Linked DNA regions of Diceros bicornis minor. The protein of the gene in region 1 purifies or fractionates together with the protein of each later gene. This does not show direct contact. Links are inferred from orthologs where the notes say so. Each region holds a gene or a part of one and is shown in the gene's direction. Other genes may lie near its edges. The genes, in order: PHLPP2, NHERF1, USP12 and NHERF2.

What was found.
Region 2: the proteins of PHLPP2 (region 1) and NHERF1 purify together in Homo sapiens (co-immunoprecipitation; 3 studies listed by BioGRID and IntAct, with this or other methods). This does not show direct contact. The link is inferred for Diceros bicornis minor from reciprocal best matches to the Homo sapiens genes PHLPP2 and NHERF1.
Region 3: the proteins of PHLPP2 (region 1) and USP12 purify together in Homo sapiens (affinity purification with mass spectrometry; 3 studies listed by BioGRID and IntAct, with this or other methods). This does not show direct contact. The link is inferred for Diceros bicornis minor from reciprocal best matches to the Homo sapiens genes PHLPP2 and USP12.
Region 4: the proteins of PHLPP2 (region 1) and NHERF2 purify together in Homo sapiens (affinity purification with mass spectrometry; 3 studies listed by BioGRID and IntAct, with this or other methods). This does not show direct contact. The link is inferred for Diceros bicornis minor from reciprocal best matches to the Homo sapiens genes PHLPP2 and NHERF2.

The regions. Positions count from the first base shown.
Region 1 is NC_080771.1:23,615,656-23,623,014, forward strand, and holds the start of PHLPP2 (PH domain leucine-rich repeat-containing protein phosphatase 2), read left to right. Parts: upstream 1-4,355; 5' UTR 4,356-4,418; intron 4,419-6,392; exon of another isoform or gene 6,393-7,295; intron 7,296-7,359. UniProt on the Homo sapiens protein: Protein phosphatase involved in regulation of Akt and PKC signaling.
Region 2 is NC_080757.1:55,334,968-55,342,392, forward strand, and holds the start of NHERF1 (Na(+)/H(+) exchange regulatory cofactor NHE-RF1), read left to right. Parts: upstream 1-4,423; 5' UTR 4,424-4,639; coding exon 4,640-5,056; intron 5,057-7,425. Other genes in the region: RAB37 (ras-related protein Rab-37), read left to right, coding at 653-718, 1,322-1,378, 1,456-1,532, 1,735-1,840. UniProt on the Homo sapiens protein: Scaffold protein that connects plasma membrane proteins with members of the ezrin/moesin/radixin family and thereby helps to link them to the actin cytoskeleton and to regulate their surface expression. Necessary for recycling of internalized ADRB2.
Region 3 is NC_080748.1:10,498,877-10,505,829, reverse strand, and holds the start of USP12 (ubiquitin carboxyl-terminal hydrolase 12), read left to right. Parts: upstream 1-3,948; 5' UTR 3,949-4,094; coding exon 4,095-4,142; intron 4,143-6,953. UniProt on the Homo sapiens protein: Deubiquitinating enzyme that plays various roles in the regulation of the immune response and inflammation.
Region 4 is NC_080765.1:46,385,787-46,393,551, reverse strand, and holds the start of NHERF2 (Na(+)/H(+) exchange regulatory cofactor NHE-RF2), read left to right. Parts: upstream 1-4,764; 5' UTR 4,765-4,873; coding exon 4,874-5,086; intron 5,087-7,592; coding exon 7,593-7,765.

The DNA.
Region 1 (7,359 bases):
TAAAGTCCCTTTTCTTTCATAATGTTGTAAGTTACATTTTCATTAAGCCCCATCACATCTTCTTTACTGTAAAAATATTAAAAGGCTGTTCCAAGTGGGACAGCTAATGAAGTTCTAATTATTGCAGACATATTTTTGAGATGTAAAAAAAATTTAAAATGATAAGTCTTAGAGGCGAGTGAGGAATAAAATGGATGTAAACATTTACATGGGATGCATTAGAATTCTGCTGTGTGTATTGTCTTTTGGTTGAAACAAATTATGAACAGTGACTAATAATAAAAAGTCAATACTCAATGATTTCACATTTGCTTCCTCGCTTCTTACAAGTGGATTAGAGAAGCCTTGGATGAATTCTTATTCCAGAGCTTTGAGCTAAACTTATTGACCTGTTAATGTTCCGTTTACACAGAAATCTCACCAAGAAAGGGATTTGAACAACTTAAAAAAACTTGTAGTTACAGGCAGTGAAAAGTACCATTGGAAATTTTAACTATATGATTATTTCCATGCTTATCTTTTCCACTTAGGTGAATTCTCGCACAAGGCAAAGAAGTCATATCAAGGTGACACATGTATTAGGGGTGGTCATGGGTTTGGTTATAAGCTTCTTTTTGTGAATTGTTCCAATATATCTGTGACTGGGAAGAGGAAGCCTTGACCTGTTAAAATGAATTATATTTCATGATCTGTTTTATATGAATTCTTCTATAGAAGTGAGAGTGGTTGGAAGTTGGAAGCTGCTGGTTTTCTATTACTCAGGTGATCTCTGGCAGTCCCTTGATTGAGAAAAGGGAGAGTGTGACAGTCCCCTAAGTGAGAAGGAGAAGGATGCAGGCCTTGGCAATTATCTAGTTTATGCAGAAGTGCCCTTTGGCACTGTTTGATAAGTGACATTTCTGTAATCTTTCCTTATATGTGGCTTAGTTAAAATTCATCTTTGTGCCTAATATTAAATTTAGTTGACAACTTCATCTACATGTAATTAGATGAAAATATAAAAGCTACAATAGAAAAGTTGAGCAAGTAATAGACTCCAGACATTTACTTAACAGTACAAGAAGTAGTGTTCAAATTTGAAATTCAATCCAGAAGGACCAAATTAATCTTTGTCCCCTTTAAAGGTTTTCCATGCTATTTCCTCCCGTAGCTCAATTGTCTCCATTTTCAAAAAATATAAAAATGTCCAAGGAAAAAATTCCTTCAAACCTTGAAGCCGGGTAAATACTGCCTGTTTATTTGGAACTAAAATAAGGAATGTCTAAGTCTGCCTAACCTGTGGTAGAACAACAAGGGATTTACACCTAAAGATCACGTTGCGATCATCAAACGAGTGGGAACTAGATACAAATAAGTGAATGTAGTAAGCTCTTATAGCTCCTCTACCAAATCTGATAGACATGAACTTTTCTTCTCTAGACCTTCTTTCCATTTTGTAGTGAGGATTAGGAAAAGCTCCTGGGATAAAGGTGTGTGTGTCCCTCCTCCTGCTACGTGGAGAAGGTACGCACAGCTGCTTATAGGAAGGATAGAGAGAGGAGGGAGTCTAATGACTTCTCTGTCTCTTAGCTTGGTCCAAACAGTGATTTTTGTAATGATGAACCTGCAGTGAGGGCAGATGGATTTGTGCACAAAAAATCCCAGAGGAATTTATTTTTAGGGTTAGTCTCAGCTGTTTACCATTTCCAGAAATTGTAGTTACATAACCCTTGGCATACATAATACACACTGCCTTGAACTGGGGGAGAACATGAATATGTGACCTTTGAAACAGTATAAAATGTTAATGACAGTACATGATTTGAAAAGAAAAGAATCAACTGGTTGTCCCTACTTAACTGAATTGGATCTTAAACCATGGAGACCTTTAAAGAGAGCTGCATCATAAGTTATCCCCTGTAATATCTGGGTGGTAGCTTGTTTTTTTTCTTTTTGAAAGAGGTACTACTGTTGTTCAAGTAGTAAATACATAACTTTTAGCATATGCTTGTATTCTGAATTGATGCTTTAGCCCACTATCCCATTAATTAAAAAAACAAGAAGTAGTAAATACATAACTTTTAGCATATGCTTGTATTCTGAATTGATGCTTTAGTCCACTATCCCATTAATTAAAAGAACAAACCAGTCATCTACCACTGCTCTTCCCCAGCATGAACTCAAATGCTAGTCCTGGAACGAAATCCTTCCCTTTCACGTGATCAATTAGTAAAGAGCTTCTGCTCATGAGATCTGGAAAAGATAATGTGTGATACCTCAAGAAACAGACTTTCCGGGGCCGGCCCAGTGGCGCTAGTGGTTAAGTGTGCGCGCTCTGCTGTGGCGGCCTGGAGCTCCCTGGTTCGGATCCCGGGTGCGCACCGACGCACGGCTCCTCAAGCCATGCTGTGGCGGCGTCCCATATAAAGTGGAGGAAGATGGGCATGGGTGTTAGCCCAGGGCCAGTCTTCCTCAGCAAAAAGAGGAGGATTGGCAGATGTTAGCTCAGGGCAGATATTCCTCCCAAAAAAAAAAAAAAAAAGAAAGACTTTTAGGAACACTAATTCTGAACCACATTTTTATTCTTTCCACTGCCTGTCCACCCTTAGTCAAGTCCACTTTTGTCTCCATGTTGGTGCCTATCCCTTACACACCAGTGTTCTTGCTGGAAGAAGTTACCCATTAAGCACTGAAATGGGAATCCAACTACTTTGAGTAGCTTTCTTGAAAGTAATTTCAAGGTAGAAAGAAAACCCAGGAGGTAGACAATCTAAGAGCTTTTTTCACCTTACACCAGACTCACAGAGACAAACCATTTTTAATTCATTAAAATGAGACAAAGATTACCGGCAATTGGAATTTTGATATATACAAAGTAACTCACATAAAGGGAGAAAATAGTGACCAAACTTTTACAGAAGAAATAATTTGTACGGGGTCAGAATCTTTGCAAGAGTCAAATTTTGTCTTGGAATTTAAAATATCTCCAAATGCATACATATCTCATAGGAGAGGGGCACAGTTAGATCTCAAACTCTCTTGTACTAAGCTTACAACTAAACCATTCTAAACATTTAGTTTGGACTAGGCAAGCTGAAACAATGGCTAATAGGTGATACCATCTTTACCAATTATTCAAAGCTCAAGAAATTATGGGGGTTTTGCTGCTTAATTCCTTAATGTGTGCTGAACAAGTTGCTTAAAGATTCATCAACACCTGTGTAATGGGGGGAAGACCTAAAAATCCGGAAGTCTGGAAAGTTTCCTAGGAAAATTTAGAGCAGAATTAACAAGGAGAGTACCCAACCAGGAATTGAGTGAATCTTAAATTCGGAAATTCAGATTACAGTGGCTACTATGAATCCCTATAACTTGCTAAGCATTTTGTATGCATTCACAAAATCTTCCCAATAACCACTAGGCAGATATTAATTTCTATTTCACAGCTTAAAAACCAAAGGCTTAGATCAAATAACTTGCACAAGGGTATAGATCTAATAAGAGGTAGAGCTGGGATTTGGAATCTGGTTTTCTAACTCCAAATTTGGCCCACTGGCCAGCCACAAAACTACCATTAATACGGAAACTAAAAGAAAATAATAAATGAACTTTTAAAGATTTTCTGAATTAGTCTTGCAAATAATAAAATGGCTCACAGACCATATTACTGCTTGAGACAGAGAATCGAATTCTGATAATTTTACTATATGAGGAGAGAAGGGAATTAAAATTTGGCTGGGAGGTGAGTTGACATTTTGTACACGAGGTTGGTGTGAATTTGCTGAAGAAGGTCTGAGCAACTCTAATAAGGAAGACAAAGGGCCTTGCAAAGGTGAGTATTCTCAACAATCCATTCCATGGCTTTGCCAGTGAGGGTGACAAGCCAGTTTTGAAGTAGCAAGAGAGGAAACGTCTTGGAGAGGTAAGTTACAAGAGTTACCCTCTGCGGAGGGCAGTGTCCTATCACTATTGACAGGTGCAGACACCCCCTGCCCCTTGTCCAGCGGGTACTTAGGAGGCGGGGATAGCAGTAAATAACCCTCCCTGCGCCTCAGTCCTCCAAACCGAGGGCAGTCAGCAGCGGAGACCCAGCTCTGTGGTGGCGCCGGCTTCGCCCGCGGGGTCCGCGGCAGCCCGCCCGCCATGGACGCAGCTCCGCGTCGGGCGCCGAAGCCCCGCTAGGCGAGCAACTACGCAGGTCCGGCTGGGCCGCGAGAGGGGCGGGAACAGGGGCGGGGCTTCGGGCAGCGGGGGGCGGGGCCTAGGGCTGATCGCGCGCGCCGCCGAGGCTCTGCGCGCTGTCGCGCCGGCCCGGCGTCCGTGTGCAGCCGCCGCCGCCGATGGGGGAGGTGGAGCTGGGGCCCGCGGGCCCGCTCGAGCCCGCGGAGCCGCCCGAAGCGCCCGCGAGCCGCCGGGCGGGCGGGATCCGGGTCCTGAAGGTGAGGAGGGCGGGAGGGCTGGGGAGGGAGCGAGGGCGGGAGCGGCCGCCTCTGCCCCGCGCGGTGGCCGAGGCAGCCGGCGACCCCCGACCCGCGTCAGTCAGTCCGCTTGGCGGCTCAGCCGCCCCGCAGCCCCGTGGGGGCGCCGCGGCCCCCGCCCGGGTCTCCACGCCTGGCTCCCGCCGAGGCCTCGGCCGCCTCTGTCCCCACCGCTGCCCATCCCTGGCCGCGCGCCACCCGCCGCCCAGGCCCACGCCTTGGGTCCGGCGTCCGCCCGGCCGCCGCCGCCCACTCGGCTCCTTCGGGACCGGGGGGCCCACCTCTGCCGCTCTCGGCCGCGCTCGGGGACCGGGGCCGGTCGCTCCTGGCCCGAGAGAGGGGCTGGAAGTACGCAGGGCTTTCTCCCCGGACACCTGAAGACATCACCCCAGAGGGAGGATGGCGGCGGTGATTGGCCGGGAGCCGCGGTGTGCTCGGGGCTGCGCCGGCGGAGCTGGCCGACTGTGCCCCCGGGCTTACCACCCAAGTTAAGACACGGCTGCCTGCTCCGAGGCGCCCGCCTGGAGAGCGAGTCCCCGGAGGAGCTTCATCCTGGGGAGTCGCTGGGCGTGTTGCAGAAAGGAGCAGGGGTTGGACAAAAAGGGGCATTCCTGCTTGTGGGAGCGGGGCTAACAATCCCGGGAGACGGTAATGGGGGAGCGGTTATGCAACAGGCAGCTCGCGGGGCTTTTTGGCAGGAATTGGGGGGAGTAGGAGGAAATAAAAGCAGATGCAGGCAAGGGGGAGAGTAGAGCCTTGAAGGTGATGAGAAGTTTAAATACACAAGGAATGTAGGGTGGCGAGGGGACAGTGAAGATGGTTCAAAGGAGGAGTTGTGGGAGACTAACTGGATGGAGTTTTCTACTAGCCTTGAAATACGTAGTTGGAGAGAAATTTTTCTGTAGGTCAGATATATAACTAGGTACCCTGGAGATGGAATGAAATTTCTTCTAGAATTCTAGAAGAGGAATGGGCAGGATTTACACTTGCCAGGGAGAAGGAAGAGAGAAAAGAAAATTTAGAAGATTTGATGTGTTTCAAAAATACTTTGCAAAACAGTGAAACTACATATTAAAAATACATTAAGTGATAGTTGTTAATTGGGATTGAGAGTGAGCACTGTATTATTAAGATTATTTGTAGGACATCACAAAGATGGGAACACTGAAAAAAATAATAGATTTGAAGCATCTGGCGAATTCATGAAACAACATAAAATAGAACTCTGTAAAATATAAAGCACTTTTCATGCTACTACCTCCCAATCTTAATAGAGATTATAGAGAAATAACTTACAGAAGTAGCTTCATAGTTTACCTCCATTTCTGTGTACAGCTTCTACATATTTATTGTAACTTTAATTTAACCATAAGTTGCAAATATAATTCCTCAAAGGCTTTTGGATATTTATTGAAAACTGTAAGGTCACAAAAATGTAAATTGTGAATGTACCAAAAAAAAAAGTTCTGCTGGCCTAGTTTATCAGGAAATGGCAGGTCCAAGACATAGGTAATGCCCTCTAGCCTAGAATGTAAACAACCTTGGCTGTTTTCTTTTTGGTGAGGAAGGTTGGCCCTGAGCTAACATCTGTGCCCATCCTCCTCTGTTTTGTATGTGGGATGCCACCACAGTGTGGCTTGATGAGCGGTATGCAGGTCTGCGCTTGGGATCCAAACCCTGGGCCACAGAAGCAGACTGTGTGAACTTAACCACTAAGCCGGCTGTCCCCTTTGGTTAACAGGCTTTTTTAATAACACCTTTTTTTTGGTGGGGAGGGAGTGAGTTGTGAGAAGGAAGGAATTGAGAAATGAGTATCTTTATTGAGGGTCCTGCCTTCCTGTACTTCCAGGAAGTGGTCCAGCGTATCACTCTTTTCCTGGGGTTCCAATCTGGGGACCATTAGAAAGATTCGAGAAATTGATCTTGATTATAGTACTGAGCTGGTGGTGTGGGAGCTGACAGTGTCTAAAGCTTTTGCATCCCTTGCTTTATTGCGTATGGTCAACACTTTAAATAATTCTTACAAATAAATGGGATTGGCTATGGAGAATAGGTGCTGTGTGTTCTACATACAGAAGTTCCATTCAATAGCTGAGTGGTTGAATTTTGTGCCAAGTGAAACTAGAAAACATATAAGTAGAAGACTTTCTGAATTGGGAAGAAAGTCATCATCTCCTACATGTTCTTCTCTGAAGACCCTTTGAAAGGCTTATTCTTTTTTGTAACTCTTTTATACTTAATACCAAATCATGAATATCATTGTTATCAAATAACATGATCTTCATAAAAAGGCTAATATATCTAAGCCAGTATAGTTTAGACAGATTAGATGTAGGTTCATCTGTATGGGGTATTGGAAAATTTGATTCAAAATCTGCTCCTAGATTTATTTAGCAAATTGTTATTTAGAATGTATCCCTTTATAGTTGTAGTTGGAATATAAGTATGATGTTTTGAGTACTCTTAAGATTATTGGGAGTATCTTTGAAGCATAAATTTTTCAGATGTTCCCTCCAATTTTGGGATTATTATTATTTTTTTACTCAGTTTGTAGAAGAAATGAAGTTACAACTAATCTAGTCAGTGAATGTTATGAAATCTGTTTCTTCAATAATAGTTTCAAGTTTTTATCAAAATAATGTGTGTATTTGGTTTTTAAAAATCAACTAATACCAAAAACATTTTAATGAACTGAAGTATTCTTCCTGTCCTTATCTCACCCCTTCCAGAATATTCCTTAACATGTATATTCCTAGAGATGAGCCCATATTGTTTTAAAGTTTTGAATGCAGCAACATATCTCCTACTTGAGGTTATTTCACATTCTACTAGAACTCAGTGAGTATGATGAGTTACTTTACCAGACCGTTTTACCATCCGTGTCTTAGAGTTAATTGTATGT
Region 2 (7,425 bases), on another chromosome or scaffold:
CCCTCAGAAACCAAGGGGAGAGTCCAAGCAGAAAAGTCTATCCAGACATCCAGCCCAAGTTGTAAGAAAGTGACTCAGGCAGGCAGAGTGAGTGGCTCTGTCCTCACAACCAAACTATTAGAGAGTAGAGATAATAATTCAACAAATACAAGCATTGACTCTGAGCACAGTACTGTAAAGGTTCCATATGTTCCCTGACCTCAAAGAGTTGACAAATTGGAGGAACAAGACATGTAGATATAAAACAGCTTATAAATTGGATAGAAATCCATGGCACTCATACTGCCACCTCCAACTCCATGCTCATGGCAGACATCGCTAATCAATCACAGTATTTTTGATCACTGAGCCCGTATGTGGCCTTACAATCCTCAACAGGGCACTCCAGGAAATTGTTGGTGACTACCAACTGATTTATGAGGTAAAGCCTCTGCTACCTCTATCTTCCATAGAACTGAGACTTGCAACACATGGGGTTTGGGGCCACTCAGGACTGGAGAGGCCAGAACAAAGATGCAGATGAGACAATGCACAGGGCATCGTGTTTGGGGTCAGTGAGCAGGATAATCAAATAGAAGAAGGAAGGGCCAGAGGGAAGGGGAGAATGGCTGGTGCTCAGCCTCAGCCTGGCTCAGCCCACCCTCTCCCACAGGCCTGGCTCACTGAGATCCATGAGTATGCCCAGAGGGATGTGGTGATCATGCTGCTAGGCAACAAGGTGAGTGGCTCCACGGCAGGGTCAGCCCACCCCTCTCCTCTCCCACTGCCACAGCATTAGCTCTACCAGCCCCATAGCCACCCAAGAGTGTTAGCTGGACATTCTTCCAGCAAAGGACTCTTTCAGTCTCTAGTTCAGGAGTCAGACCTATTTGGCAGCTTCAGCCCATGTCACCTGCCCTCTTAAAGCTTTGGAAACGGTCCCCTGCAGGGAAAGCTCAAGCTAGTACCTGAGAGACCCACGGTTGCCCAGCTGCTCAGCCCTTATTAGATGGTCGTGATGAGGGTCACGGATGAGGAGCTAAGACTGGAAAGGGTTAGCCCCAACTACTGCCACCCCTTTGAGGCTGGCTCACCACACCCGTACCAAGGAGAGTTACCCACCTCCCCCAGGAGGAGTGAGATCCCAGGGCTGGGAGCTGGTAACTCAGCCTGACCAACCCAGAAACCCTGGCCCCATGCCCATCGTGCCACCTGCAGTCCTGCAGGCCACCAGCAGAGGGCGGGTAGTGCCTGCTCCTGGGGCAAAGAATAGGCCAGGCAGGGGCAGGGCCAGCTGGGGTCAAGGCTTCCTTCCCCAGAGTGACCCACCTGGGCTTGACAGGCGGATGTGAACAATGAACGAGTGATCCGTTCGGAGGACGGAGAGACGCTGGCCAGGGTAAGTGACTGCCTGTGGGCAGGGTGAGGGGTGGGGGCAGCCACAGGCTAGCCCTGAAGACACTCTCTCTCTGGCAGGAGTATGGAGTTCCCTTCATGGAGACCAGTGCCAAGACAGGCATGAATGTGGAGTTAGCCTTTCTGGCCATTGCCAAGTGAGAGCTGAGCAGGGAAGGGAACCGTGCGGGGCAGGGTGGCACCATCTGGGAATCCAGTATGGCCTGGCCCCCCTCCCCCGCCAGCCCCTGGGCCCAACTGCCTTCTGCAGTCTGAGGTCCATTTGCCCCGGGCCATAGGAGTGGGGAGGATGCTCAGCTCCTCAGTCCGTACCCAGCCCGTTGTTTCTTCTTCTTCCAGGGAGCTGAAACACAGAGCCAGGCAGCAGGCCGATGAACCCAGCTTCCAGATCCGAGACTATGTGGAGTCCCAGAAGAAGCGGCCTGGCTGCTGCTCCTTCTTGTGACTCCCAAGGGGCTGAGAGGAGGCTCCAGAGGCCCACGAGGATGCAGCCTTCTCCCCCAGACCTGGCTTACTCTGAGCAGCTAAGCCAGTGGGGAGAGAACTGGGGGACCCAGTGCACAGGCCTTCCTTCCCAAGAGGGAGCTGTACTACCTACTTCCTGGACTTCCCTGCATCTCCAGGGAGGGTAAAATATTTATATTTCATTTTAATGATACACAATTTAATACAAAAAAAGGCACCAGAAAGCCCAGGTAAGGACCTGGTGGCCCTTTTGCCTTCTAGTGCTAGGACTGAGGGGTCGGGGCCTACCTCCTAGCCACAATGAGGGCAGTATTGCTCAGCTCAGCACCAGGGGACACTGATGCACTTCAGTGACCCCCTTCCCACTCTCACTTCAGCTGGAGAGAGGCTTCATGTCCTCCAGCTTCCCAGGGAACAATCTTCCCCACTAAGACAGGGCCCTTGTGCTGGGAGCTAGACCAAAACCTCAGGGAAGATAGGAGATATGGAGATTGGGCAGGGACTCTGCTCCCTGGGAGGGGGAGAGAGGAGTAGCAGAGATTAGGTCTGTTTGGCTACCTCTGGCCCTACTAACGCCCCTCCAGGAGGTGTACCCTTTCCCTCCAGCCCACAAGCACACTGGGGCACCTGGAAACATTTGGTTCCTGTTCCCCAGACCTCAGATCCCAGGGAAGCCCCTCCTCCATGAATCCCTGGTCTTATCTACCTTTCTGGCTGTGCCCCTACACACCTAAGGTCCCAGCTAGGGAAAGGTGGTTCTTCTGTCCCAACCCTTTAGCAGGTATGCAGCCCCCAGGCTACTTCAAGCAGCTGTAGTGCTTCTACTGGGAAAAAACCAGATAAAGAGAAACCACCTGGAGCAGGTGGGAGGCAGAATTGAGTAAACCTTGCCCTACATGTATGCCCCTAAACCCAAGCGCTGCCTCCTCCCTGACACCCACGCCCATTTTTTCCCAGACAGACGCAGACTCAAAACTGCTCTATCTCCCTTTCTACTAAGCCAGGTTAGAGAGTGAGAGGTCATCCAATTCTGGTAAACCAATGCAATGTGTGCAAAATAAGGTCATGTGGGTAAGACTGGGGTAGGGAAGGGGCGGCAAGGAGTTACGGGAGCGAAGGTCACAACTCTCCCAAAGCCCTTACCCCAGCAATCAGAAGGGCCAGGGTACATGAAGGTCATGACCTAAAGCACCTTACTCCAGCTCTCTGGGCCATGGGTGGGGAGAGACACCTTTGCTCCAGCTCTCCAAGTCAGGGGCGGGGGAGAGGGATAGAAAGAGGCATGCACTGCACATTTCTGAGGCTACTGCACTTGCTTCCACGGCAGAAATCTTGCTCTCTGAGCAGAGTCAGCAGCTCCAACTTGGGCCAGATAAGGAAGCTCTCCCGAGCAGAGCAGGGAGGAGCCTGACCTTGCCGGCTCTTCTGGGGCCCAAGGCAGGTCACAGGCGATCCAATCATGTAGGCTGTACTGGGCCTCCAGCATTTGTGTTTTCCAGAATTAAACTGCAGTATTTTGGAAAGTACACACTGTCCCCTGCTTCTTTGAGGTGCCCATGGGGCGGGAGTCATGTTGAAAGGATTGTTATTGCATGCTGGGGGAACTGTCATTGACAGCCAAAATCACTTGATCCTCATCCTTCAATGTCCCCAACTGGTCACCTCATCCTTTACAGACCACCCCTCAGCCTCTGTGACCAGCCTCTCATCTGCAAGAAGGAACTGAAAGGTTTATCTTACGGTCCTAATCATTCTTTCTCTATTGAAAAAAGCCAGGTCTCCTTGCCCTGGAGACTATACCCAGAGATGATTACCTGACTCTGTTCTGCCTCTCTCCACCCCACCTCCCTAGCCGAACGCTGACGCCAATGCCCACGCCATTGCCCTACCTAGGTGGCCTTTTTCGGTGGGCAGCCGCGCAAAGCCTGGGCTCTCTGCTGAGACCCTCGCACTGTCCCAACCAGGATCAGAGCCCGCACTCCTATAAGCAGGTCCTGGGACAGTGCAAAGTGACTCCGCAAATGGGAAAATATCGTTATTCAGACAACTCTGCTGGGTCCGAAGTGGACCTCCGTCTTACTCCTCACACCGCTGGGACCTCGCAGCCCCGGAGCGGGAGCGGTTTCCCCGGCAACAGTCGCCCCCTCCCCCCCTCAATTGGAGCTGCACACAAGGTTTTGGCTAAAGGCTGTTAAAACGTTAGCGTCCTTTACTCGAGGGTTGGCTCTCCTCAATCCCCGCCACAGGTGGGGGAAACCAGAACAGAGCCTGCGGGCCCCTCCGCCCGGTACCGGGAACTCGCCCCGCCCCCCGCCTCAACTCCGGCCACTTGGAAACAAACACTTCCACTTCCTGAGCCCTCTTTCTTCTCCCGCCGCGGGGCACCGCGCCGAGCGCACGGCCCCGCCCCTGCGCGTTCCCATTGGCCGGCGTCCTTCACCCGGCCCGAGCGCCCCCTGTTCTTGGTCTCTGATTGGCCCGCGGTGGCCCACACCCTCAGCGCGGCCCCGCCTCCGGGGTAAGGGACCTGGGCGGGTTCTAGAACGCTCAGACGCCGCGCGGGGCGGGGATTGGTCCGCGCGCTCCTGGCTTGGCTCCTTGCTGCTCGTGGCAGCCTCTCTTGGGACACCTGCTCGCTCGGCCTGTCCGGCGGTGCGGGAATTCTCTGCCGCGCTCTCTCCCGCCCCCTGGTCCGCAGGGCGGGGAGAAGGGCTGGACCGTCCCATCTCCGGACCCCGACCCGACCCCGCGGCGCGCTGCTGAGTCGTCCCACGGCGAGATGAGCGCGGACGCGGCGGCCGGGCCGCCCCTGCCCCGGCTCTGCTGCCTGGAGAAGGGTCCGAACGGCTACGGCTTCCACCTGCACGGGGAGAAGGGCAAGATGGGCCAGTTCATCCGGCTGGTGGAGCCCGGCTCGCCGGCCGAGAAGGCGGGGCTCCTGGCCGGAGACCGGCTGGTGGAGGTAAACGGCGAGAACGTGGAGAAGGAGACCCACCAGCAGGTGGTGAGCCGTATCCGCGCCGCGCTCAATGCCGTGCGCCTGCTGGTGGTCGACCCTGAGACGGACGAACGGCTGCAGCAGCTGGGCGTCCAGGTCCGGGAGGAGCTGCTGCGCGCCCAGGAAGGGCCCGGGCAGGCTGAGCCGCCGGCCGCCGCGGAGGCGCCGCGCGAGGCCGAGAAGAGCCCGCCGGAGCGGGTAAGTGCGGGCCCGGGCCGAGCGGCGAGGCTGGAACGAAGTTGGAGGGGGGATCGGGGAGAGACCCAGGCGCCCGGGACTCCCAACCCTGCTCCCGCCTTGTCTTTCTGAAACCCGATCCTCGAGGGAGGGACTGCTTCCGCCCGCCGACTGGGCGCACTGGCGGTTGCAGGCTTGGGGCTGCGTCCCGCGACCCCCACTCCCCTTCCCAGACAGGGCTGGGACCCTGAGCGCCTTTACCACCTACACCTCTTGACCCTTGGTCTTTGGTAGGGAGGTGAGGGAGCCCGGTCCCCTTTTCTGGGTTCTGTTGGTGGGGTCTGCTCCCGTTCCTCGGAACCACGCAATCTCGCCCTCACCGCCCCAGAGGTGCCAGCTTCCTCCACGGCCCCTGTGGGTGGTAACGGAAGCTGGAGTGAAGCGAGCGCGGCTCCGACTTCAAAGAGCTAGAGGAATAACAACCGCCTTTTCTGTGCGGAGCCCCGGCGCTGGGAGGGGAGGGATCGCAGACAGGGTTCTCCCTTCCCCCCAGCCCGCTGGTGTGTATATCATTAACTTCAGGCCGGCTGGACTTCATCCTCCTCCTGAAGTCGGTCGGGTGACTTCTAGGAAAGAAGAGGAAGCCCCACCGTCTCAGGGCAGCGTGTTGGGGGCTGGGGTGCGGAGAAGAGGTGCAGAGGCCTTGGAGTGGTGGCGGCTCCACCACCCAGGAGGATTTATGATTCTCAGGAATGTGAGGAGTAAGCGCTACCTTGTATCTGGGAGCGGAGGGAGGACCTTGGAGGAAAAGAAATGGCTGGGGAGAGGGAGAGGTGGGAGTGGTCCCGTGGTACTCTACCCTCCAGCGGCCAGCGGGGCTCACCATGGGCAGGTGGTCCTGTCCTGGCATCATCTGTCTCACTCCAGTCCCTGGACGGCAAGCAGGCTGGTTGCTTTTTGCCCATGTTTGGTGTTTGCACAAACGATCCCAGTTTGGATCAGCTGCCCGAGGGGCAGTGGCAAACAGGAGCTGTGCTGAGCCTCCTGTTCCCAGAGAGTGGAGGGGGGAGGCCTCCCCAGGCGGGTTTGGCTTGCACCAGCTCTCCACCTGGTGGCAGCATGTGGCAGGGGTGTCCTTAGTGCCAGCAGGAGCCTCCCTGGACAGAGAAAGGGCACAGTTCAACCTTAAGGTAGAAGGTGGAGCCTGAGAGGACCAATTGGTTTGGTGAAGTGAGGTCACCAGGAGCCTTGTCCAGCCAGAGATGGGTGCCGGCAATGACAGGGCTGCCCGGCTCCCACTTCCTGCCGCTGCCAGGCTGGCATTGGCAAGGATGGGGGAGGGGTCGGAGCACCCCTGGCAGGGGTTTGACACCAGGGAGTTAGAACCTATGACCTCTCGTCCCAGGCAGAAGTCCAGTTTGAGCTTTGTGCTGAGTGCATCAATTTGCCATTCCCTGTTTGTTTTTTTTCATTTGGACTTTGGCACTCGCACAAGTAACGCACCCCCCCTAAGTCGCAGTTATGTTCAACTCCTCCCATTGCCCTTTTGGTTTTGCTGCTGGGTGTGTGGGGAGGGGTGCTAGGGGAGAGGCCAGACTGGAGGTTTGACCTAGCGCACAAGCTCCCGCCACACCATTTGAAAAGGCAGCAGTGCTTCCACCCCTGGAGCACAAAATCAGATCCCCCCAGATGGTGGTGTGACACCTGCATTCGTGTGTACTTTGCTAGGCCAGGAGAAGGGAGCAGAACCGCCTCCAGCCAGTCCCGGGAACACCATCACCAGGCCTCTTGGGTTTATGGTCAACAAGCAAGTCACAGAACTTCTCTGAGCCTTGGTTCTTCCATCTGTAAAATGGGAGCATTGGATTACAGTGGTACCTGCTTTCTCTAGAATTTTACAAGTATGAGAAGTACTCGAGCCCCTGGTGGATGCTGAATTGAGTTCCTTTATGCCCAAGCACTGGAATCCCAGCTCTGTGCAAGGACTCCTTTGGCCTTATACAAAGCCTATCAGCACTGTTAAGACCCTCTAGTAGGATATTCCAGTTAAATCTGGTATGGTGGTCATGCAGGTGACCCACTCCATCACTGCAAAAAAATGTTAATAAACATCCTAAGAGTTATTTTTTTTTTCCTAAAAGACATCTCTTGTATAAAGCATTTGAGTTTTACTAGTTAGTTTTAGCCTGAATTTGTATGCAAAGTAGAGGCTGTTATGGTATCTTCATTAGTTCTCATAAGTGAAAAAGATGTTAAGTGGAAAAGTGCATGCAGAGAATGGGTGGCGGTGACATATCATTGGGAAGAACAGCCCAGTGGAGAATGATAAGGGCAGAGGGTGAGGGTACCTGTAGTACTGGTCTGGGAGGATGTGGAGGGGCACTGCCAGC
Region 3 (6,953 bases), on another chromosome or scaffold:
GGCTTCCTCAGTGTCTGTGCGTGACTTTCCCTCTGCCCCAGAGACCACTGCCTTCCCCTCCCCCATCACTGTTCATCCTATTCTTCCAGTTGGTGAAGCTGCCCTCAGCTTGTCCCCCCTGCAGGTAGAGCTAGTCCCACCCCACTTAGAGCTGACAGCAGTTGGTCCTTCATTTTATCAGCTCATTTTCCATAAAAATCATCTGTCTACCCCAATGGACTGTGTGCTCCCTGAGGGCAAAGATTTTTCTTATTCATCAGTAGGTGATCAACAGATACTTGTTTTAATGAACGAACTCAGATTTCAGTTTTAAACAGAGTATAATATGGCTATGCCTTTGGTCCTTCTCTTTTAAACCTAGATTTAAATAATGACAAAGTTTTAGATATATTAGCTATACACCATCCTCCCCAGCAAATCAAAGTCATACATCCATTGTGCAGATGACTCGACTATCCTCTGAACGGGAAGTCAGCCTTGAAAAGTCAATCACTGGTCTGTTGATTCAAACCAACAGAAGAACATCACTGTGTTGATTAACATCTACCTCTGGACAGCTGGATGATGTTAATTAAAGCCACCAAGAAGGTTGGTTCATTCAGCTGTCAAAGGGCAGGGGAAAGAAGGGGAGAGATCATGAGTTTCACAGTCAGAGTGTGTGAGTGTGGACCGTGCTCTGCACAGGCTGAGCAGCGTCATGGTGAAAGTGGTAAAATGAGCATGGATGATGGAGCTCCAGGGGCACTGGAAGGTTACATTAGAGAACGCATCTGAAGTACTAATTAGGTGCCTGGCACACAGCAGAGGCTCATTCAATCTGAGGGCATAAACTGACAGCCTGAGGGCTGTGTTTGCCCACTCTGACTTTAAAACTGTTGACTTTGGCCATTCAGAGCTCTCCAGTTTGTGTTGAGTGATGGGCACTATTCTAAACACACCTCCATGTTTTATCCTCGTTACACCCCTCTGAGGTAGACATAATCATTACCTTTATTTTCCAGATGAGGAAACTGAGACAAAGAAATACTATTTGAGTATATTTTATAGCTAAAATCTGCATGTGGGTCCCTAAGGAGTCAGTGCCTCTCAACCTCATCCCACTAGAATCAAAATGAGGTACTTGAACACGAGCTGGTATAGCAGAGTGGATGCAAGTGTGGCCTCTGGAGCTAGGTTCAAATCCTGGTTCCATCGCTTACTAGTTGTGCAACCTTGGGTAAGTTATCTCTGTGCCTTTTCTCACCTAGAAAATGGGGAAATACGTCACTGGGTTGTTATGAGGACTTCATAAAATGCTTGGTGCACAGACAAGTCCTCAATAAGCACTACCTGTCATTATGGATGTCTTACGCCCCCGCCCCACACTCCCCCCAACCCCCACAACACAGGCATTTCAGTCATTTCTGTTAGCTGGTACAAAACCGAATTCCTTCAGGGAGAAGAGAGGTGGCAGAAACACAAGAAGTGACGTGTGGTTAACGGGAGACAGGATGAGTAACAGAAAACATGAAGCGGCCTGCGAGGAACTGGACAGTACAGGATTGTGTAAAAGTATTCAAATGAATCAATTTTAAAACAGTAGGCTGACCGAATGGATTAAGCTTGGCCCCAGTTTGTTTACTTCCTCAGTCCATGAAGTTATCTGAGTATATTTTGTAGTTTACCCACTCAGGAAGGCCCAAAAGAAGTCAGTTGTACACAAACCCATCTTTCCCTAGGCACAATGAAGTTCTTTGTAAAACTGATACAGTTGCAGGTAAAAGCTGTGTTCTAAGCCCAGATGACCTATTCCCAGCTCTGGGTGCAAAATGTGGTGTTGCAGCCAAACCTTATCTTCAACTGCATTACATATGGTAAAACCCCCAGTACAGTGCCCAGCACACAGAGGAATCTCTCTTACGCTCATGCCTCTTCAGTCAACCTTAGGCTCAGGACACGAGGCATTGTGAGGTTCTGCAATTAGGATCTCACCTGCAAAGTTAGACAGCTATAACACCAACTAGACACAATTCCAGATAATTCTATTAGAAATCCATTTTAAATAGGACTCATTCTTCTATAAACTTATGTGTGAAGCTGGTGGCCTCTGTTCCTGTGACTTTTTAGGATTCACAGACAAGGAGGCATGTTGGTGGGCAGCATAGACGGAGGCAGGGCTCAAATTCTGGCACATTAGACCTGTTTGCTGGAACAGAATAGCAAGTGGGGAGGACAGGATGACAACAGACATTTATCCAAGTAGGTGAGACAGATAGGATCCAGGGCCGTGGTGACACTGGTATGGGGCCCAGGCAGGCTCTGGAGATCTAAGCAGGATGGAACACAGCAAGAAAGAACTCAGGTGGGTGATACTTCTAAGTCTAGGGAGGGCAACAGGGAGGCAAGCACTCCATACAGCTGAATGTGTGGCAGTGAAGCACATGGTCCTAGCCACCCGCTTGGGTATCAGGGCAAAGAGGGAGGGCCCCAGCTTCCGTGGAGGCAGGTGCCTGGAGAACCAGGACAGCTGCTCTGGGACTTGGCTATATTCTATTTGCAATTTTTTTCCCCAAGCAAGCTTATAATGGAAATCACTATGGAAACAGCATTCATGTACCAGAAATCTATTTTTCACCTAAATTTTATTTGAATGCTGTGTTTTGTTTTTTGAATGCTTTGAATCTGTGAGGTAAGGCATATCTGATTTTGGAGCTTTGTCTGAATTCAGGCCCTCAGCCCCACTGAAATGGTGGAACTCCAAAAAGCACCCCATCATTACAGTTCACCAATTGAGAAATACCACAAGCTTTCTAACATAATAATTTATAAAGTTATTCTACTAGCTTGAACGACTTTCTCAAACAGGAAGAAATCAAGCTAAGCTGCCTGACACAAAGAGCAGGGTGCAATGAAGAATTTTACAAACCTCGAAAAGAGGGGCTATCCCACTAGCTAACACTGGGTTAAGACTTTCTCACAGTACGTTTTTCTCACTTGCGAGACTTCTTGTCTCTGGTAATATCATCGTCACTGCTGAGTGCAAATCTTCCCTATTTTGCAACTCAACTTTAAGAACAAATATACTTAGATACTCTATTTATAAACATTTTCTAAATTTATGGCCAAAAGGCAGGCGGGAAGGCAGCTTCGTCCCTCTGCTCCATTACTTACCTTTCTTCTTAATTCAAAGAGCTAAACATACATAGTTTCTTATCTCTTTCATTTTTATTCTATTAATTTGACTTTCGCCGTTATGGTGTTTTGACCCAGGTGATTCACCCAACATATGTAAACAGAAACCACTTTACATTTTAAGTGTTTGGGACATTGCATTACCCGGGTTATTTTAACCTATTTTAACCATATAGAAGCAGGTTTCTTTCCACCGCTCCCAGAATTATCCAGACCATGGTCTCCGTTTTCGTTTCGAAGTGGGGACTAGCTGTCCCCGCGCCTTCGGCAGAGGCTGCGGGTCAGTCCCTTCCAGCATTGAACCAGACGGCTGCCGCCTACCCTGCAGCGACTGGAGCCTCCCCCGGGGCCCCTCTCGCAGCCAGGGCTGAGTCGGCCCACGGGCTCTAGGACCGCGAGGGACGCGGGCAGGAGGCGGCGCCCGCCGAGCCCCCGCCCCGCTCGAGCTCGGAGTGGGGCGGGCGCCGGAGTTTCCCGGCTCGCGCGCTCCAGGGCCGGGGCGGCGTGCGCAGGGGTGGGCGGGGCCGCGGGGCCGCGCGGCCGGTGGGCGGGGCGCGCCGCGGGGCCGCGCCGCTGCCGGGCAGGCCGGGCATTAGGGCCCCGGCGGAGCCCGCTCCCCAGCGCGCTGGGCGGAGTGTGCGGCGGGCGGCTTCGCGGGCAGGCGCGGGCCCCGAGGCAGCGGCTGCGCCCTGCGCCGGGGAGGAGCCAGGGGCGGGCGGCCGGCAGGCGGGGGCTGGGGCCCGGGGCGGGGAGTGCCGGAGCGCCGGGGGTGACGACGGCAGCGGCGGCAGAGCAGGCTCGGTGCGCGGGTCCGCGGCGGCTCGGGGTCCGCCCGCGGGCTGCGGTGCGAGCGGGCGGCCCGGCTCCCCTCCTCCCCCGCCCGCTGCCGCCGCTGTGATTGGGTGGAAGATGGCGCTGGGCGGATGGAAATCCTAATGACAGTCTCCAAATTCGCCTCCATCTGTACCATGGTAGGTGCGTCGGGAGGGCGGCCGGGGACGGCCGGGACCCCCGCGGGCGGGCGGCCGGCCGGCCCGGCGGCGCAGCCCGGGTCTCCGCCCGTCCGCCGGGCCGCCCGCGGGGCCTAGCGCGGGGCCCCGCGGCCCGGGCGGGGGGCGGCGAGGCGGGCGGGGGCGGTTGGACGGCGGCGGGCGGGCGGGGAGCGCGGGGGATGAGCGGCCCCGGGAAGGGGCCAGGCGTAGGCGAGCCGGCGCGGCGCGAGGGTGACTAGCGAGGGGGTGGCCGTGCTGGACGTGGCGGGGGCGGGCACGGGGCCAGCGCCCCCGGCCGAGCGGAGAGGCGCGGCGCCCGGGGGCTGGAGCGCGGCCCGGGCTGGGGTCGGAGGGGGAAGGACGCGGGCGGCGCGCTGTCCATTTCCGTCCGGCGGTGCGCCAGGCGGGAGGGGTCCCTGGGCCGGGATGGGGGCTGCCGGCCGGAGGCAGGGTCTCGTTCCTGCCCAGGAGAGGACGGAAGTCAAGTGCACATTTTCTCCCCGCGCCTCTGGCGAGGCCGAGTCCCCCACCCGCTGCTGAGGGGAAGGGGGTGTGTGTGAAGGTGGAAACTTTAAATAAGTGCTGTTGAAATTTTTCCCATCTTCTACTCTTTCTCAGAGGAACGAGCTCTCCCTTTTCCAGCCATGTGTCCAGGTGGCAGTCTTGTCTTTGGGAATCCACGTTAATCTTGTAAAACAGCTTAAGCTTTCCTGTCGTTTGTTTACTTTAATACCCCAGCCACATCTCTGTGTGGCTTAAAGTATTTCTGTGCAGGAACTGACTGCGAGGGTTATTGTGTGTGTTTTATTGGGGCTTTTAAATAGACTTTAAGGGAAAAGTGCTAATGCCTGTCGAAAAGTTCCGATTTAAGCAAAACGTGCGTGCGTTTCAATCTTGGTGTTTTTGTGCTTGGCCGGAAGGACCACAGTCTTCCACACGATGGGGCAAATTCGTTTCGTTAGCTCCTTAATGAGCTTACGTCTAGGGATCATAATTATGAGCCGTCACAGAAGAAAGTTATCCTTTGCAACGTGGGCCTAGTGATTATGCTATTAAAGACTTCTGAAATCTTTCCTTCTGTTTTATGTCTTACTAGCCCTTTTTATGCACCCGATTGCATGTAGGAGATCCCCAAGCAATCTTCGGTTTAAGGGCGGTACATTTTATGTATCTTTATATGCGTATATATACATTTATATACCTATATATACATTTTATATACTTTAAGGAGTGGTGAATCAGATCGGAAAGATGGTTTAGAAGCAAATTCTGTACTGCACGCAGAGGGACAGTATAAAAAATGGCTGAAATCAGGTGGGGTTAAAATCTACAGTATTAAATCATATTGAATGGATCATTGAAGACTTCCATTTTCCCAAATGGATGTTTGTTTTTTTTCTCACAATTTGCATTTCAGGAAAGCATTGATATTAAAGGGACTATATTAAAAAGATTGCCAAGGTTCATTTGGATTATTTTTAGATAAGCCAATTATTAATCTGTTTTAAAAGGAATGTGATAATTAAGTCTTTGAAAGTGCTGATCTTGCCAGATTGCTGAGCTGCACAGATTGTCAGGTCATAGTTCACTGTGGGAGTCTGGGGTTTCAGGAGTGATGTGTCGTTCTTTACTGACCAGTCTTCCACTCCAGTATGTCAGGTATACTTTTAGCACCTACTGAGTGCTAGAGCCTGTGCTGAGGATACAGCAGAGATCAGGACAGCCCTTGCTTTCATGGTGTGTACATTCTAGTTGAGGGAGACAAACAATATTCAAGTAAACTTATTAATAAATATAATATGTGCTGTGATCAGATTAGGAAAATGAGGCACAGAGAGATTTGCTAAGTCAGACACTGAGTAAGTGGGGTTCTGATCTCGAGAGTGTCGGACTCCAAAGCTCTTCCTTGGGCTTCCACTCAGGTGCGTTAATTGTATGTGGTGTGTGTGTATTGTTGGCAAATACAGAAATATCTGCCTGGCCAAATGAGATTGTTCCAGAAGTAGTGTTAAAATTGGGTGTGTCTATATTCATATTCAAATAAATTCTAATGTGCTCCCAAAATAATGCTAAACATCTCAAAGTAATGTGCAGTCTTTTCTTTCAAGAAAACTGCAGCTCATCTGAGAATTACAAAATTAACAATCAAGAAAAGCAAAGATATTTACCTCCAAGCCTTGGTAGATGCTATTTTTCTAGGCTGTGAGCGCCCCCCTCACCCTTGTCTGGCGAGTTCATGCCTCTGTCTCAAGCAGGGAGACTGACCTGAATAATCCCACCCTGTCCATCCCCATCTTCCACCCCCCTCATAGAATTTCACAGCATTTTTGTAATTTTGGTAGCTCTTAATCATACTTACTGTGTTGTAAATTTTTCTCTTATCGCCTTATTGGATTCTGAAGGCATTAAGGGGAATGACTATCGTTTATTTCTGCGGTTTGGTGGAGCACTAACTACTGCATACAATAACAGAGTTTCCCAGAGTTCTTCATTCTCCTCCTGGCTATCTGAGGGAAGTGAGTTTGGTTAAGCATGGATGAGATGGAGTGGAGAGGAGAGAAGAGGGCTGAGCCTAAATAGAGTGATGCTTCTCAGAGAATCAGCAGCTGTGAAAGCGTGGATGATGAATTGGAATTAATCAAGTTTACATAATTTTTTTTCATTTGTCAACGTAAGGTACGTGGGCAAATCAGCGATATCTTTATTGGGTTGAGTAACTCTGTTCAAGGCAAATCTCTTCAGATATGTCTTATTCTAGATCACTGTTGTTCTGCTTACGTGTGAAAATTA
Region 4 (7,765 bases), on another chromosome or scaffold:
GCCTACCTAGCCTTTCCCCCATCTCCCAGCATTCATTTTAAACCTGGATCTCCTTGGAACCCTTCCCTCCCCTCAGCCAAAGGTGTCCAAAGAGGAAGTGGGAACCCCTTGGCCCCCTTCTTCACAGACATGCTCTCCTCCTAGGGAGGAAGGGTCCTCCACCTCTTCCCCCCTCTGCATTTCCAGTTATTGGCTCCAGCCCCCATGTAAACGTACTCTGCCATCTTGAATAACAAGGACCTCCCTCCACCTGGGCCCCCTTCCAGCTCCCCCCTCACAAATGTCTGGGCCCCACCACCCTCCTGGTCTCTCCTCAGCCCTCTTCAGTGTGGGCTCTGACTCCCACAACTGTCCTGGACCTTGAAGCGCCTAGTCACTGTGCCCTGATGCTGTCTACCCTTGGAGCCCTCCTTGGCCATGTGGCAAGGTCTCCCCTTGGGGCACCCAGCAAGGGATGGAGGAGGTGTGGTCCCATGTCTGTCTAGCCAGCTGGCTTTGGGAGGCCCATGTGGAACCAGCCCCCACACCCCCCCGTTGGCCTCTGGAAGCCCCCACTTCTCCTCACTGGCAATTTCTTCTGCTCTCCTGGGTGCATCCTTCTCCCCATGTGGTCCTCTAATGTGGGGACTCATTTTGATTCTATGGACCCCTGAATTTATTTACCCTGATCCCACTCAGTTTTTTGCCCCCAGGATCTGCACTGGGGGAACAGGTGGTCACAAACCCCTCATTCTCCTCTCCCCGAGCCCACTCCCACCCCTGCTCCTTGCCAAACTCAGTCTTTCAAAACATGGGTGTCCTGAGCTTGTTACTCCCAATGCACCTCAAGGGCTTCCCACCACTGATGGGATGAAATCTATGCTCTGGGGCAAGGCCACAGGGACAGGGGGCCCTGTCCCCCAGTCTCATTGCTCCCTCCCTTTCCCCACACAGCCTGCAGGAAACTCTGGGCAGATTCCAGAACAGCTCCCTGGTCCACCCTGAAGGAGGACTCCAGGGCCCCAGGCCAGTTTCAATGCCTCTCCTTGGGCTGCCCCAGCCCTGGGCCTCCCCTGGCCAAGGTACACAGATCCCTGTTTCCAGGGGTCTCAGCGATGTTTCCCCGGTGCTCTCCAGCGCTTGGCACGAAGTGGTCCTCAAATGTTTGGTCACAAGTGCCGGGACACTTGGTGAGGGGCTAGGTTTCATGTTGCCTGGAGGAACCCTGGTCCAGATAGGTTAGTGCCAGGTCCAAGGTGAAGGAGCAGAGCCAATTAGGGGCTCGGCAGAGGCCCGGCTTCTCTGCCTACGCCTCCGCGGCACCCCTACGCCCCTGCAGTGCAAGCAGCTCTAGGGCGTCAGCCTCGCCGCAATCGCCACCCGGCGAGGCAGGGCTGGACCGAGTCGGAGCCATAGGGGCGGGGCCTAGGGCAGCCCCTCGGACGATGCCATCCCACCCAGAGCCGGGAGGTGGCGCTGCGCAGCTGCTCTTTCGGGCTACAGTCACCGCTCCGCGCCTCCGGCGATGGGCGGGCTAGGGGCGGGTCAAGGGCGGGGCCACTCTGGTCTTTGCATTCTCTCTCTCTCCCCCTCCTCCGTCCCCTCCCCTCCCCTCCCCACCTCGTCTCTAGGTATCTTGTTATCTCTTCCCGTCGCTGTGGTCCCGCCTGCTCCGATTTCGGGCTCTGAAGAGAGGCCTGGTGTAGTCTGAGGGAGGAGGCCATAAGTGAGGACTGGTCATCCCGTGGAGCCATTAATGCCCATTAGGGAGGAGGTGCCGGCCTGGGAAGCTCTGGGCCATTACCCGGGCGTCAGGCTAATGGCTCCATCCCCGAGACGGCCCCCAGTCCTTCCTCTGGCTGTGACCAGGCTTCTGCCCACCGCCACATCCCAGAGTCCCCGCCTAGGCGCAGGCTCCGCCCCACCCCTGGGGGCGTCGCAGCAGGGAGGTAGGTTCAAAGGTCAGAGGAAACTCCCCCTCCCCGCAACAGGATCACGGGGGCAAGCCCTCCCTGGGGTGAGCCCTCCCGGGGTGAGCCGTCCGACAACCCCGGGGAGGGAAGCAACGAAAGATCCACTATCCCTCTGTCCCAAGGCTTGCGCAGCAAGGTGGCAGGACAGGGATGAGGGCGCCAAGGGTGGGGATCCCCCAGACCTCTGACCACTTCCGACCCGACCTCCTCCTGCCCGCTGCTGGCCTCACTGATCAGCTAGCTCCCTAGCACATTCCCCAGCGACCCTGAGCAACTTACAGCCCCCAACACCTTTCAGCCCACACTCTGGGCCTTTGCCCTCTGTCCCTCTGCTTTGCTGCCTTTGCCCCTTTCTCTGTGCCTCTCGCCTCCATCACAGCGCCCCACGCCCGAGGCCAAGGCCAGAGGAAGAGGCCTGGGGGAGTGTGCCCAGGAGAGCTACTGGGCCCCCTTTCTTCACCTCTGTTATCCCAGGCCCTCCATACTGACCCCATTCCCTCCCTCTCATTCCTGTCCGCCCTTGGGAACTGTGACCTGCAGCTCTTCCCTGGCTGCCCTTATTTACTCTGTTGCTGTCATCCACTTCCTTTGTTACGCCCCCTTGTCACTCTAATGTTGCCTTTGTTACTCTGTTACCTTCCCTGCTACTTCCTCAGCTCCTTTTCTGCTTTAGGGCCTCCTTTGTTATTCTGGGATGCAGTGTTCCTGGCCCCTGTGACCACATGCCCCTGGCTATCCCTCCCTCCAGTGGTGTTCTGTTCCCATCCATCTTCACCCACAGGCTGAGTCCCGGGCTGCAGAAGGTGGTGAGGGCCCAAGGCTGATGAGGAGCATCTGTCCTACGGAGCGGGGAGGAGGTCTCCAAGCCTTCTGACCCAGGGGACCAGGGGACCAGGGGCCCCTACCTTCTCGACCCCCCAGCCTGGGGGTCTCCCATCCCTCAACTCCAGTGTGGCCCTGAAGCTACAGCATGGCACATTCTGGGTGGTCCTGGTTGCTATGGGGTGACCCCTAAGCCCCACCTGCTGTGGTATATGCTGGGACCGCACTGCCCGCACCCATCCTCACAGTCTCCAGGGGCAGCAGCACCAAGTTGGGTCCAGGGAGGCCAGCCACAGGCCAGACAGGCAGCCTCTGGACAGGCAAACAGACAGATGGAGGTGGCCAGCCAGGTGGGGGCCTATGGCAGCATCAGCCAGGAACTCGGAGTTGGGGGTGGGGGAGCAGCCGTGCAGCTTCGGCCTAAGTGGCTTTTAGGGGCAGCAGCTGGGGTGTGGACACCCAAGGGGCTGTGGCCCAGGAAGCTGCCCAGAGGCGGGCCCTGTGCTTGGCGGGGGCTGGGAGCCCAGGCTGAGGGCATGGAGAGGGGAGAAGGAGATGCAAGGACGGGGCCTGAGCCGACTCTTGCTTCTGCCCTCATGGGGAGCTGTCTGGGCTGGCTGTGCCTGCCCCCCCGGGGACCAGGTATGTGCAGGGGGTGGGGGGCCAGGGCTGGGGAGGGGCAGGGTGAGGGTGACCAGGTATGTACAGGGTAGGGCAGGGCAGGGCTGGGGAGGGGCAGGCTGAGGGTGAGCATGCAGCTCAGCTGTCTTCCTGTATCTGAGGCTGAGAATGAACTCCATGGTGAAGAGTGTGGATTTGGAATCTTACAGCCCTGGGCCCAGGAGAAGCTGGGGAACTTTGCCTGGGTCTCTTCCCTTTCCAGATCTCAGTCTCCTGATCTGTAAAATGGCCTGAGTCCCGTATGGTTGTTCCAGGTAAAATGCACTCAGGCGCAAGGAAGCATAAGTGATTCTGCATTGTGATTATTATTGTCCAATTGGGGGAAGAGGGCACTCATGCTGTGGGGTGGGAGTGGGGGCTGCTGTAGGGGAAGGGGAGGAGAGAGGGAGGGGAGGGCTGGGGTGGAGGAAGGGAGATCTGAAGGGGTCTGAGAGCTCAGACACCGAACTCCTCAGCACATTTCATCCCAGGTCAGGAGGAGGGTAGCAAAGACTCTCTCATCCCAGCCAGACAACTGCATTTCCTCCCTGCACTCCTTGTAGTCACAGACCAGGCCTGGGATGGGCAGGGGCACGAGCGAGGGGCCCTGGCAAAGTGAGGGGATGGTAGGGGGAATGTTTAATGGATGTATGCAGCACAGATAGGCACAAACACTCCTGAAGGGGGTAGGGGAGTCACCCAGTCACTGGCCTCCAGGTTATAGGGGAGGGCTGCTGCCATATCACTTTCAAATCCCTCTTTTGCCTCCTGGAGTGTCCTGGACTCTGGTCCCGGCCAGGGCAGCTCCGGGCGCAGGAAGGATCCAGATACACAGACAGCTGGGGTGGGGGTGGTGGTGGTGAGGGGGCTTCCCAGGAAGGTGAGCAGAGCTGTTGCCTTTGTTCTTACCCTCTGGCCACTGTGTAGGGTCCCTCGGCCTGAGGACACTTTCTCCACCCCCTCCCCCACCTCAAGAGCCCGCCTCCGTGCTGGTGCCACGCATACCGTAGGTGCTCAATAAAAGTTCCTGGAATAGGAGGCAAAGGCGCTGGCGCCAAGGAGGCTGCCCAGAGTGGGGGCGAGACCAGCGGGTCCCGGTGATTCGGGGTCCCCTGGCCCTGCAGTCCCCTACTTCCTGCGGGCTCCCCCGGGCTAGCGGGACGCCAAGGCAGGGGCAAGGCCACGACTGCTTGGGCCCGGGGCAGAGGGGGCGGCCGGGCGGAGGGGGCGGGGAAGGGGCGGGCGCGGGGGCGGTGCCGCAGCCTGAGCCCGAGCCGGAGCCCGAGGCGTCGGGAGCCGAGCGGGAGCCGCCGAGGCCGCCGCCGGGTTTCCAGCGCCGCCGCCGCTGCCGCCTCCGCGCCGTCCCCGCGCCCCTGCCTGCCGGCGGCGGGCGTGAGCGCCGTGGCCAGCTCGGGGCCGGCGGGTGGGCAGCCGGCGCCATGGCCGCGCCGGAGCCGCTGCGGCCGCGCCTGTGCTGCCTGGTGCGCGGCGAGCACGGCTACGGCTTCCACCTGCACGGCGAGAAGGGCCGCCGCGGGCAGTTCATCCGGCGCGTGGAGCCCGGCTCCCCGGCCGAGGCGGCCGCGCTGCGCGCCGGAGACCGCCTGGTTGAGGTCAACGGCGTCAACGTGGAGGGCGAGACGCACCACCAGGTGGGTGCCCGCGCCCCGCCCGCCGGGCCCTCCCCGGGGAGCGCGTCCCTGCCCCGCGCGCGCAGGGGGCGCTGAGGACCACCGGGCTCGGCGCCGCCTGCTTCCAGGCCTCGGCTCCCTGCCCGGGGCCGGGAGGGGGTTGCACAAGGGCCTGCGTGAGCTCCCCCGGGGAGGTGGGGGACGTGGCCACGGAGGCAGCGGCCGCCGGCCTCCTTCCTAGCCTCCCCCCCCAGGAAGCTCAGCCCTGCACCGCGGAGAGCGGGGGGAGATCCTGGCAGGGAGGGGCCCGCACTGCGGCTCTTGGGTCCTTGGCCCTAGTTTAGTCTTGTTTTGGACTCCCTGTGCCATGTGTGGAGGTGTCGGTTACCTTAGGGGGGTTTCCATGCAAGTGGGTACCCTGGGTGCTTTTCTTTGAGTGTGTAGACATGCGCGTGTGTACACAGACAATGTGTGTGAGTGTGCAGGTCCCTCTGGGGATCACCCAGATGTGCATACATTTATCTGTGTGTACCTGGGAGGTGTCACAGTAAGGGCACACCTGTGTGTGCGTGTATCAGTGAGTGTGTATGTGTATGTGTGTGCTGGACTGTGTGGGTGAATAGACAGGTCTTCACCCCTAGATGTGTGTGGATAGATCTGCATGCCTGGACGTGTGTGAGAGCTGGGCTCTGTGTATGTGTTGGACTGTATGTATCAATATACAGGTCTGCATGCCTGGATGTGTGAGTGTGGATAGAGCTGCATGCCTGGATGTGTGTGTGAGCTGGGCTGTGTGTGTGTGTGTCTGCCGGCCCGGCTGTGTGTAGTCATCAGTGTATGTTGGCAGGCCAGTGCCCTAGTGTGTGTCCTGGCTGATGGTGTCTGGGTCCCAGTAGGAGTCGCTACTGCTGGCAGCACATTCCTCTCTGTGGAGGCTGCTGGCCCTGCAGGGGTCACTGGCCACAGACCCTGCCCCCTGCAGCTGGAGATGAAGGCCAGAGGGAGGGCAGGGTCTCCTCTCTGCAGGTTCTGACCCCTGGAGGGGGGTCCATCTCCACTGGCCAGGGGCTCACCTGGCTTGGGTCCAGCCTCCCTCCCCCCTTCTGCTCCAGGGTCCTCTGTGTCCCCCCAGCACTATGAGTTTCTGACCCGCCTGTGTGGCCAGCCCTGGGGCCTAGAGATGAGTTCTTCTCTGGTTCTTCACTGGGCCTGGAGCTGAGCTCCCACTCTACCCTTGGGGCCCTTGTCTATCCATTTGTTTTTGCGGTCCTTCTGTCTTCCAGCCAGAGTGTCAACTGGATGAAGCTGTTTGCTGAAGGAGGATAGGGGTCAGGGCCAGAGGATTTGGCCTGACAGGCCGCGGGGAGGGGCTGGCAGAGCTGGTGCCTGGCCTCTGCGTAGCAGTCACTGTCACCCTTGCCCCAAGAGCGCCTGCTTATCCCAGGCTTCTGGGTGCTGGTCTCCAGGAACTTCACACACAGGACCACGTGGGTCGCTCTCACTGCCCCAGGAAGGAGGAGATGCAGTTACGGCTCCCATTTTGCAGATGAGGAAACTGATGCTTGGAGATAGTGGGTGACTTGTCTGGGTCCCACAGTCAGGATGCAGCAGGGTGCTGGGGTCCTCCTGTGGCTCTGTGGGTCACAGGGAGAGAGGAAGGACAGGAGGGGCAGGGGGTGGGGGGAAGGTGGGCCTGGTCTAGACCCTCCTATCTGTTGACAACTTCTGCCAAGTAGCTGATGGGGGTCCCGTCTGCCGTCCTCCAGGCCTTGGGGTGGGGGTGTTGCCCTTCCTACCCCAAAGCCCAGTGGGCACTGCCCCTTCTCCTGCAGGGCACGCACTGGCATGCATGCTCCATGGCACCCACATGCACCTGCAGAGACACACAGATGTCCATAATGCCACACTCGTCCTACAGGTGGACCTGCCCCTCCCTGCCTCACCTGCTGGGTCTGAATCCTGCTTACTGAGTTGTGTGTCGGTGCCCACGGAGGTGCCTTGTGGAAGGCCTAGAGGCAGGGGTTTAGACTTCCTTGCTCCACCACTGAGAAGGACAGAATTGGGCACAGACACTCAGACTGGGACCCAGGGAGAGAGTTCTCTCCCTCCAACCCAGACCAAGAGAGACCCTGAAACAGATGGATGTACGCCTGCACACAGACGCGCGCGCACACACCCACACACGCACACTGAAAACCTGAAGCTTGGCCGTGCACCATCTTTGTCACTTCCAGACCACTGCCTCCCCCAGCTTCCTGGTCTCTCCTGGAGAAGACCCTGGGCTGAGGCGACGACCCTGCAGCCCTGGCATCCTGGGCCCCAGTGTCAGGAGCTCTGGGAGAGGAGGGAGGGAGCGGCTGGAGCCCGGGGGTGGGGGGTGGAGCCGGCGGGCCTCTCGGTCCAGCCGCCCACCCCTGGTAGGCCAGCCGCCTGCCTGCAAGCCCAGGCGAGCCCTGGGTGGTGCCACTGTCCATGTGCTGTCTGGAGTGTTGGCCGCTGACCTGCTCCTGCCACCTGCCTGTCCCAGGTGGTACAGAGGATCAAGGCTGTGGAGGGGCAGACTCGGCTGCTGGTGGTAGACAAGGAGACGGACGAGGAGCTCCGCCGGCGACAGCTGACCTGCACCGAGGAGATGGCCCACCGAGGGCTTCCGCCTGCCCACGATCCCTGGGAACCAAAGCCAGACTGGGCACGTGCAGG